2 linked regions of the Drosophila melanogaster genome follow. The protein of the gene in region 1 interacts with the protein of each later gene in a pairwise test. Each region holds a gene or a part of one and is shown on either strand. Other genes may lie near its edges.

Region 1 (4,725 bases):
TGCAATAATCTTCGAATTATGTCTTCGAAAGTCACAAAAATACCATTGAGCGGTATTTGCGACAACCGAAATAAGTCTAAAACATATTATTAATTAAGTAGTAGTGTATTTTTTCGGCTCGTTACCTGTTCGGCGAGATAACATACATTTCTGGCCTTCTTCTAAAACATATTTGCATGATCTGAAAATGTTTGCCTATCCTTATCTTTGTTTCGGTTTCACCCTTTTTTCTTGTCGTTATGTATAAGCTTTTGTCGAAAGAACTAATATATAATTCGCTTTTTAAAGATTCTGTGTACGCGGCTTCATTGGCTGCAGTCTCCCGCGTTGAACAGGCTCTGAGTGAAGCAGCAAGCTCATTGAGCTCATTTACGCAGCGTCCTGGACCCCGACGACCCTGGATGCTACAGATTGAAGTGCGTTCTTAGTTTCGTTTAGTATCCACGATAATGTATTTAATGCTGCTAAATGGATTTGTTTTAGATATGGCTTCTGCTGGCTGATGTCTATCTGCGGATTGATCAGCCGAACGAGGCACTCAACTGCATACACGAAGCCTCACAGATTTATCCGCTTTCGCATCAGATTATGTTTATGGTAAGTCCTTCAATCTTGATTTATTTTTTTCTAACTCCAACTAATATAATTACCGTTTTTAAGCGTGGCCAGGTGCATGTCTATTTGGAGCAATGGTTTGACGCCAAGCAATGTTTCCTGAACGCCGTGGCCGCCAACCCAAATCACACAGAGGCTTTGCGTGCGCTTGGAGAGGCGCATTTGGTACTGGGCGAGCCGAGGTTGGCTGAAAAAATGCTAAAAGATGCGGCCAAACTGGATCCGAGCTGTCCAAAAATTTGGTAAGCTTAAAGACGTATGCTCAGTACTTAAAACCAAACTCATATTGACAAATTTACCAGGTTCGCACTGGGAAAGGTGATGGAGATCCTGGGCGATTTCCATGCCTCAGCCGATTGCTTCGCCACGTCGCTGCAGTTAGAGCCATCATGTCCGGTGCTACCTTTTACTTCTATACCTTTGGTGTTTGAATAGGAACACTTTCGTGTCTAATTCGAAGCTTGACAAACCTCAAAGTCAACAGCAATACTAGAATTATACTTCCTAATTCCTTCAGTGTAAAAATTGTTGTATCGCAGTTTTGGAGCAACAAATGTTTAAATATTGTTTGTGTGTAAATTATTACCAAGAATTGTTCGAGCTTGGCTGTATTATGTGAATGAACCATTCTGCTATCTTCCTTAATCACCCACTTTTAAGGAGATGGTTCGGTTAAATTTATTACTCTATTAGGTGTTGTTAATTACATACAAAATTGGTTATTATATAAATATACAGTATTTCGTGAAATTATTTCATCATATCATTGTGTATCAGTAAATGTCAGTATTCGATTTTTTAAGTTCCTTGCATTTTCTACTTGGAAAATGATTCTAATTGTTTTGAAAGCTTGTTTCTCTTTTACCCTGTGGCCTTTTACTTTCCTTACAAGCTAATTTACGCCGTAATATCCGCATTCTCTGCTAAAGGCCAAATTTAGACCTTAAAATTACCAAGGAGCTTACTTGCAGTTGGGCCCCATTTCCTTTAGTTTCGGTGCGCTTGTGTCGTTGCCCTGGGCAACTACTATAGCGTACGGGCAATCAATAAAAATATAAACAAGCCAGTCGAAAGTGTCGCTGCGGAACAGGCACAGGAATTTGGGTTTATTACGCCACTCTTAAAAAATCGCGGGCGATTCATTTTGTGTGCCACTTTAGACTTTGGCCCTGTTAGATCAGCAACTTGAATTTTGATGGCCGATTAGTTGCACAAGCATTATGACGCCCAAACGAAAGCGTCGCGTACGCAGCGAGTCGCGGGCCAAAAGCAAAGACCAGGGAAGGTCCAAGGCAGAGCACTTGCATCTGCTTGAGCAACTGGAGTTGACCGACAGCTGCTGCGACATCTGCCACTGCGACTGTTACAGTTCCCACAGCAGCGGTTCTGCGAGTGGACGCGGCAATCAGCGGCAGGCGAGCGTCAAGGAGTTGTTGCAACTGGAAAACGACATTCAGACCCTGGAGAAATTGCAGCGACGGGAAAGTACAAGCTGCCACCGAAGTGCTTCCAGGTCGCCAACAGAGCGAAAGTTTCCCCACAGCAGGCGGGGATCCTTCGACGGTGAGAAAAGAAGTGCAAGCTCAGGCAGGACTCGGCGGTCGAAGAGCGCAGGAAGTCGCAGTTGCGAGTCCCGGGAGAAGCAGCCTGCACAGAAAGCGCAACAAATTCCTCAGGATCGTCGAAAGCGCCGGGCTCAAAAGGATTGCAAAATGCTTCAAGTAAGCTCAGATGCCAGGAAAAAGGTTATTCGAATGGACAATGAGCAATTTTAGAGTCTATCCGTCCGTCTGTCTAAATGAACGCTGTGATCTCAGAGCTATAAAAACTGCAAGTTTGGTTTGAACGTTGCCACGCAGAAGACGCCCAAAACTGTCACCCTAAAGTGATTTACATTTATTAATATTTAATTATTTAACTTGCTTATTTTCATTTTGGCCACAAACGGCCAAAACTGTCGTTTCTCTGGCCGTAAGGAGCACGGCCGATATAGCGTCGCCCAACTTTGCAATTTTGTTTCAAAGAATTAAAAACCCCACTCTAATGCCTACAAACTGCGGCCACTTTTATTATTTTATGTTGTAAGCTTTTAACTGTCAAAAACATTTTGGCTAATGATGTTTTAGCCAATTAAGAAGTCAGTAAGCAACAAATGTAATCGCCGCTACGTGATCGCATTCCTACCTTTAATTCTTTGCCACCTTTACAGAAATTCTTGGCTCCCCTCAACGACGCACACAACCTTTCCATCGTCGGACGGGCCAAGTCCAAGTCGCAAGAAAATTTGGCTGTGGTTTCGTGCCAGCCGCAGATCAAGAAGAGCTCGTTATGCAGCTCGATGGCCAACTTGTGCCTTGCACCAATGGTGCGAGCCGCATATCAGCAGGTCCCCAGCCACGACCAGAAGATCCTGAACTGCATGGCGGAAAAGCGGAGGCAGCAGGCCGCCGATAAGGAGACGGCCTGGTTGGCGCGCAAGTTCTGGGAGAACGAGCGACTTGAGCGGCAGCTTCTTCGCGTGGAGCAGCTGGAAGCTTACAAGCATGCGGTTCACGACAAACAGTTCCAGGACTACCTGGTGACCAAGGCGCGACTGCAGGCTTTGGCCGAGCGCGATCTGGCAGAGCTTAAGCGATTGCGGGGAGCGCTTAACGCCAAGGACGATGCGGTCAAGAAGCGACTGGAGGCCAGGCGGCTGGAGCGAGACCTTAACATCTCACAGCGACGGTGCGAGGAACTGCGTCGTAGCGAGGCGGTCACTGTGCATCAGGAGGAGCAGCACCTGGACGACACGCTGCGTAAGCGCGACATCTGCATGCGGCTAACGCAACGCCTGCGACGGGCGGACGAGTTACGCGGCCAGCTGATGGAGTCGTACCTCAAGCGTATGCAGCTCGACAACTACATGGAGCAGGTGCATCACGAGGAGCACTGGCGGGAGCGACAGCAGGAGGAGCGGCTGCGCAGGGATCAGCTCCGCGAGGATATTGAACGCAAACGCCATCAGTCCCAGCGTTTCGTTGAGTGCCGCCAACGGCGCCAAAATGATCGCTTCCGTACCGCCAAGATCTCTGCCAGTCTGCGGGAGCTGGTGCGCCAGTCGGTCACACCAGAAGGCGCTATTAGTGGCTCGGTGGGCCAGGATAACCCAGCGCTCAACTCATATGTCCAGCAGCAGATAAAGCTGGGTCGCCTGCTCTTCGAACAATCTGCCAGGGAATAACTTGTTTGGATGATGCATTTTTGATGGTTATGTACATATATACAAATTGTTGCTGGTTTTATGTTATTAAAGTCATTTAATACTTGTAGTTCTATTTTTGTATATTTATCTATATATATTATATTTACGGAATTAGAATTATTCGCTTTTTTTTGTAACACGCTAAGTCAAGTACTGCATAAGGTCCCGCGTATGATTGGAATCCGATGCATAGATTTGGATCTTATCGCCAAATGAACAGTGATAACAAAGCCGTACAATCAAAAAGCACCGGGTGAGGAGGTTGATGTCTGAATGGAGACAAAGGTGTACCCCACCCTGAACCAGGAACTGCAGAGCACGTTCATAAGTATACGTATGGGCAGAGTGAGCCTCAGTCAAAGGCCTTGAAGTGGGACAGTGTCCCAAGAGGAAAGACTCCCCTTAGTTTCCCCTCATTTCGCATCGATCACGTTTCGGTAGTGCAAATACTCAAAGTGACTAAGAGCCCCGCGAATTATACAGAAGATGCACATGCATCCCAAACTGAGACAAGGTTATCTGACCCCATTGAGTCTGATTCATCGTCGACCTAGGCCAGCGGTCGTTTCCTGGGTTCAAGCTTTTAGTCTCTATCAAAGTTAATTAGATTAACACTTTAACTGCTTTCTCGGTTTTAGAGCTCAAGTGCATAATTGTTGCGGTGGTTTTGAAATTGAAACAAGTATTGTGCTCATGCACGGTGACATTTTGTTGTGTAGCTAGTGGAGACATGATTTTGTGGACTGTAACGTGAAATTACTCTTGGAAAGTATGCCTTGCCTACGCATTGAGTAGCCCGCCCTAGGAATTTATGGCGTGGGGGAATTTACTAACCATGAAAATGATAAAACGTGGCGATTATATTC
Region 2 (6,597 bases), on another chromosome or scaffold:
AGCCCCGGGGTAAAGCTCAGTCGAAAAGCTCGTGGCGAGAAAGCTCCAACCACCGCGATGGGTGGTCGGGCGCGGGGGAATCCCATGGGATGCACTGCCAGGTGTTACGCAATCAGCCTTGTTCGACATCCACCCCCTTTTCTTAGTACCAAAAGCACGATCGAAATACAACCCCACCGACTGTCCTTGTGCAAAGGATATCAGTAGCTAGAGGCTACAGGCTCGGGCGACATGGAAGCCAGAACTCCAATGACTAGAGCACCCCGAAATGTGTTTATGGGCAAATTGAAGTCGCTACTAACCTTTAAGGCTTGATATGAAATGTTATGATACGTGAAAATACTTGAACTTGAAGATGGTCTTCAAACATCCTTCGTTTCTGACGATGAAACACACGATGATGACAATGATCTTGAACTCTCTGCCGATCTCGACTTGTTTCTTACAATACCTTGGGAATAATTTTGAAAGCAATCGAAAATAAGCCAAATTAAAAACGAACTTATAAGTAATGTTAAATAATGAAATAAACACCTTAGGTTCCGCACAGCGAGTGCTCCACTTGCCGCCAACCCAAATCATTCATTCGAAATCCACTCCACGGTTCATAAGTTTATTTTGGTGGTCGCTCAAAGGAAGCCACTCATAAATTTGATGTACGTACAGGGGTGAGCAGATGATACCCGGATGCGGAGGCGTCGCCCTCTGATGCGGTTCACCATGATGCGATCCAATCCGATCCGATCCGATGCTCGCTATCGCTCTGGTCGCTCCTGCAGTCCATGGTCCAAGTGCCACCCTGGTACGCTTTGAATTTTGTATAATTGTTGCCTTGTTGCCTTTTTGGTTAGTCATAGTTCCATATAATACGGTATTACATAGTATATAGTAAAGTATATTATGTATAATGCATGTGTATATGTGTATATAAATTTAGTTAACATTAATTCACCAAATACTCAATTTCTCTCCATCTTCTTTTCGTGGTCTTCACCCACTCAACGTTAGTCCACTTTTTCATATCGATGCCATTGCGCGCTCGTGTTCAATTTTATAAAAGTTCAGTTGCCACTCTTTGTTGTGTTCGAAACGAGATGGGTTAATTGAGATTGGTAAGTCGGGTGTTGTGGGCTGGGTGTTCGGTGCGTGGTGTGGGTAGTGGGGGGGAGTTGCGAATAATGGGGGCATAGGGTCTGACCATTAGTCTTTGGCACGTTCGCATCGACGATAGCGATGGAGCTGATATGTAAACGGAGTTTCCTCGCTTTGTGCTTGTGAGTGGAAGGGGAGCGGGAAGTGACACCATATTGGTAATTGCACTACATGGGCGTCTCTCTCATGGATACTAGCTATGAACGAGGATCGGACTGAGATCTCCTCGAAATCACTGGGCTTCAAGTGGAGTGGGGGCTCTGGGCGAAGTCGTCTGGGTGCGGTAACAACAATTCGAGCTGGTCAGTGGCTAAGTCTATGGTAAAACTCTTGGCTAAAACATTCCTTGATTTAGACTGGCCGGCCGGCAATGGGGTAACGCGGAGATTTTCGCTTTTTGGCATCTTTGTGCAATCGAATGCTATCAATGGAATCTACTATGCTGAGATTGGTTTCGTTAGTTAGTTCAATTCAAGTCAACAAACAATGCGCTAAGGTTGTAACGTTTGCTAATTATATATCAATTATATATACTTTTAGGTTTCTTTCGCTCTAAGGTTTGCGTATTTTGATAAATTTGTAATATATTTATAAGGCCGCTTGGGGCAACTGCTATGAGAGTGCTAAAATACTCATACGGGCTGGCGATAGCCGAAGATCTAGATAGATGCAGGGGTCTTAGGGACAGTTACACTACGGATAATTGAAGCAAAATCTTCCCGTTCTACCTAGACTTTCTAAAATCTGGGGTCCCAGAACCAGAGTCCTCCTCGTCTCGTCTCCTCATCTCACCGAATCGTTTTCTCTGCATCTGCACCTGGGAGGACTGTTTGTCTTTCTAAGCTTGTTTTTGTCTAAATTCATTAAAAACTCACTCGGCAATCTTTGCACAATCTCGATATCGTTTTCGTTCTCGTTTTCGTTCTCGATCTTGATTTTTGAAACACGTGCACATGTGGGGGCTGTGGTATGTTTGGAGTCTTATGTGGTAGTCGTTAATCAAGTTAGAATAAATCGAAGGTACGAAAAATACAAAGTGGATTCGTATTAAATATATCCAGTACAGTTAGGGGTTACGAGTTACGAATAAAACGCGTATTACGTAAACAAAATTGCATAACAACTTAGAATTATGAGGGCACAGCAATCGAGTGTGTAAACTATGTATGTACAGCTCAGGCGGAGCAGGTGAATGGCGAGGGACAGGGTCAGATACAGGCTGTTGCCTAAACTAAATGTAAACGTAATCGTAAGACGTAAAAGTAAAAAATAAATAATAAATTAGGATGCAAGATGCAGGGGTGCGGGGGGCAGTGCAAACGGAACGGAACGGAATGGAACGGAAACGGAAAAACAGAAAACAAACGAAAAGTGAAATGCACGCCAACTCGGATGCTTTAAGGGGCGCTTACTTCGCCGCTGCGGAGGCGGAAACGGAACCGGGCGTGGCCGACAGCGCCATCTTGGAGAGCGTGGCCAAGGAACGTTTCGGGAACGTGTTGCTGCCGTCCGACGGGTCCGAGAACAGCTTCCGGAAGCTACAATGCAGAAAGTGAATCGAGAGCTCTACGCCGATTGAATGCCACTTACAATTTGCGTATTCCCGACTCGGAGCTCTTCTTCCAGGGCGCATCGTCCGGCTCGTAGGGCAAAGGGCCCTGCACGGGCGCATCGTGTCCAGGTGGCCTGAAAAGCGATGCACTATGTATGTACTTAAGTAATCATAACTAGGGATAGTAATTAGCTATAAAAACTCAAAAATAATCAACATATAGATCCGAATCCAACGATTTGTTTGACTCCCAATTGTGCCATTTACCAGTTACCTGCTGACCTTGCGAAAAAACACGCAAATATATACGTTTAAGCTCTGAATCACCTGCCAATTAAACGTTTGCATCATAGGGTCTATTTGAATATTGTTAGCACTGAGCAACAACAAAAGAATGACTCAGGCTGAAAATGCTTGTTCGTTAATCACTTTGACTCAAGCGGTCGTTCATAAATTCTTGTTTTCTCTGGTGAGGGACCACAAAACTAAAGGATGTAACAGAAATGGGCTCACTCACGTTTCTCCGGCCGCTGGTGGCTCCAGCTCGTTCGCCTCGGCAGCCGCCTCCTCCTCGTCGTCGTCATCATCGTTGTCCGCCACGTGACCATCGTCGTCCTCATCGCTATCGTCGGAGCTGGAGAAGTGACGCTGCCGCTTGCCCTTCGCCTGGCTTGGTGGCTTCAGCTCCGCCAGCTGCTCGTTGAGGGTGTCGATGGTGGTCAGCAGCTCATCGCGCTCGCTAATCAACTCTTTCAGCTCGCGCGTGGTGTACCGCGGCCGGTTGGGATCGTTCTGGCCATCGTCGTACGAGGCCACCAAATCCTCATTCTCCTTTTCGGCCAGGCCCAATCGCTTGCGCAGTTGGTTGATCTCCCGGCTCTGGTCCTGCAGCTGGGCAAGAAAGTCGGCGCGCTCCTCGCACAGCGTCTTCACTTGGGCCTGCATCAGCTTGTGGCGGCGCCGGGTATCTCGCTCTGATGCCTTCAGACGCTCCGCCTGGATATTGAGCTGGGAAGGGTTAGTTAAGAATACGTTAGCTGGGAATATGAGCACCTATCCTTAAGGACACTCACGTGCTCCAGCTCGCTGTACTTGTCCTGCAGCTCACGCTCGCGGTGCTTCAACTCGTCGCGCTGCTTGTATATCTGCTCCTTCAGCCGTTGCAGCACTTGAGTATCCGAAAGAGCGCTGTGCAGCTCGTGGTTGGTCATGCTGATAATGCTCTCGGTGAGACTGGCCCCCAGGCCGGAGCTCTGGGCGGACGATGACTGCAGATCCTGAGTCTGCTTTACCAGCCGCTTGTTCTCGTCTTGCAGCGAGGAGACGAGATCGACCAGCTCGTTGGTCTCGCTGCGCCACTGCTCTTCGATCAGCTCCAGCTCCTTGTCGAACCGCCGCCGGAACTCGGCCTTCTCCAGCTTCTCGCTCTCCAGCTGGGCCACCTTATCGCGCAGCTCCTGGATGGTGGCGTTCTCGCGCTCGTTCTTCGTGGCCAGCGCCTCCAACAGCTCCAGGGTGTTGATGATCTTGGGCATCAGCCCGCTGACGGCGTCCGTGCCGAAGCGGTCCATGATCCGCTCGTACTCCTTGCCAATGTCGGAGGCCAAGTCGTACACATCGACCACGCCGATGTCGTCGATGGCGTCCAGGACCATTTCACCCATCTCATTGAGGTGAAAGCCGGGCATCCAGGTGGTCGCTCAGATAATCTGTGACTCCTGCCAAGCGCTGTATCACTTGTTTACTTGCTCACACTTGCTCACTGGACTCTGTGTTCACTGAAGACCAGCTTCAGTTGTCGCCTCTTTCCACGGTGTCCTGCTCCTCGGAGTTGCTTCGGGAATCGCTGCACCAGCTGACAGGGATTTTTCTTTCGCTAGCAGGACAAGTGTGCGTGTGCGTGTACGTGCGCCAGGTGTTGGTTTTCCAAGTGCTTTAAGGGAGGGGGGGAATCCGCAATCCGAAGTACGGAATTCGCACTTCGCAATTCACAGTTGGCGCACACAGACTGCACAGTAGTGTGCGTGGGAGTGGCAGTGCTCACTTCATTCACTCTAGTTGTTACTGCCGCCGAGTCGCTTTTCGCTGCCGATTCCCACATAAACAATCCGACTTTCCGCAATTTATTTGCACAATTTTTGCTGAACCGAACTGGAACTGATGAGTAACGAATAACTGGTTCGCGGGCGCCCATATGTGCGAACCAGTTCCCAGATGAGCAGTCGGTTGCGCAGTCTGGTAGCGCTTTGTGCTGGCTGGTCAGTGTTGGGCAACGCCAATTCGTTTGGCGCCAAATGAAGAGCAGCTTAAGCGAGCAAAATGAGCGTAAGTGCCAAAATGTTAAGCCTTAAACGAAATTTTACTATCCAAAAGTCAACAGGCTGGGCCACAAAGTAAATTCATTGTTTTATTAATAAGTTCTTGTTTACAAAATTGTATAAATAGTTTTGTTTTCTTGGTTTTCAGTTTCGTTTGGTGTGTGCTTCCTTGTAAATTGTGGTTACTGGGTCTGGATAGGCAATTAATTGTATTTTACACGTACAGTAGCACTAACACTAACTAAATGGTTTGTGTGCCACATTTACACAGTTATGCAGCGGCGACTAGCAAGTTTCTTCTCTTTACACCATTTCAAATCATTGGTTTGGTTTCACTGGTTCATTAAGTACATAAATTAGCTACAGTTCCTTCAATGCTTTCCTCGGGGGAACAATCTAAGCGATATAAAAAAATAATACACAAGTTCTCGGCTAGGCGTAACAATTTCGATTTCTTTTCTGTAGCTCTTTCGTTCTTCACTTTTGACTTTAGGGACTAGATTAGGAACCACATTTGTACATTTCATTTTCATGCGTTCTTAGCTGCTCGATCTCTAATTAAGTAAGTAAGTAAGGTCTAGTTTTGTAAAGTAAATGTACATTCAAGATAGTCACCTTCTTCTTCTTATTCTTTTTGGTAGCAGCTCGTAGGAAAACTTAAAAATAAACACGTTACATGTATAGAAAAAAAAAGGCAATAAAAAAATAGGCGACGCAAGACATTTTAAAATGAGATGAATCGCTATGTTTCAGTTAGGCTGGCAAATAAATAGTGGGTCGCGAGTGGTTATGACCGGTTATTTCAGCAGGTCCTTTGGCAAGCATTTTCGATGGCAAGGCCCCAATCTTGGTTTCTGTTTTGGCACTCAAACTGGGCGTAAATAAATATATATGGTAAAATTAATGTTACAAAGTGGTTGCGTCAATCCATGGTAGCAAGTATAAAATTAGCAAACTAGACAAAATACTAGCACCCCTCCTGGGGATCCTGATTCTGCTGCAGGGCCAGCTGCCTCAGGAGCTCGGAGGTGACTTCCTGGCGCTTCGAGCGCTTCGCTGGCGGCGGAGAGGAGTGGGGCGGTGTATCTGGCGACGACAGGCCGCCCACCACGCCAACATCCCTGACCAAGGCATCCTGTGAGTCATCTTCGTCTACATCGTCTTCCTCGTCTTCGTCGGGTAGCGTCAGGTCCGTTATGGCCTGGTCACGGTTCTCGCCATCGTCCTCCGACTGCTCGTCCTCCCTAGACCGCCCATCATCTATGTCCACTATCGAGATGATGTCGCTGTCGCTTTCGCTTTCGCCCGCAGGACCCCCGACTAGTTCGAACCGCCCCTTGGCTGCGGACTAGCTGGTGCTGGCCTGCGTCTGCAACACATTGGCGGAAGCGGACGATGAGGCACTAGCGGCGGTCACGGCGACGGGCGAGAGCACACTGGCTCCAGGGAAGTGGCACGGGCACGCAGGATTGGGCATGTGATTCGCCTGACTGTTCAGCTTGCGGGTGAGCGTCTGCCAGTATTCGATTTGGGCGTTGATCAGGTCGATTTTCCGCTTGCTCTCCTCGATCCTCA

The links.
Region 2: the proteins of CG17994 (region 1) and Rilpl interact in a two-hybrid assay, tested with the Drosophila melanogaster proteins (one large-scale study listed by BioGRID).

The regions. Positions count from the first base shown.
Region 1 is NT_033778.4:6,206,419-6,211,143, reverse strand, and holds CG17994 (uncharacterized protein), read left to right. Parts: upstream 1-1,675; 5' UTR 1,676-1,835; coding exon 1,836-2,336; intron 2,337-2,824; coding exon 2,825-3,838; 3' UTR 3,839-3,925; downstream 3,926-4,725. Other genes in the region: Ttc7 (tetratricopeptide repeat domain 7), read left to right, coding at 289-416, 484-597, 661-857, 918-1,050.
Region 2 is NC_004354.4:1,391,339-1,397,935, reverse strand, and holds Rilpl (Rab interacting lysosomal protein like), read right to left. Parts: upstream 4,883-6,597; 5' UTR 4,393-4,882; coding exon 3,778-4,392; intron 3,713-3,777; coding exon 3,222-3,712; intron 2,854-3,221; coding exon of another isoform or gene 2,839-2,853; coding exon 2,743-2,838; intron 2,691-2,742; coding exon 2,565-2,690; coding exon of another isoform or gene 2,561-2,564; exon of another isoform or gene 2,384-2,560; coding exon 2,251-2,383; 3' UTR 599-2,250; downstream 1-598. Other genes in the region: CG32813 (uncharacterized protein), read right to left, coding at 6,371-6,597. UniProt on the Drosophila melanogaster protein: May have a role in lysosome distribution by interacting with Arl8.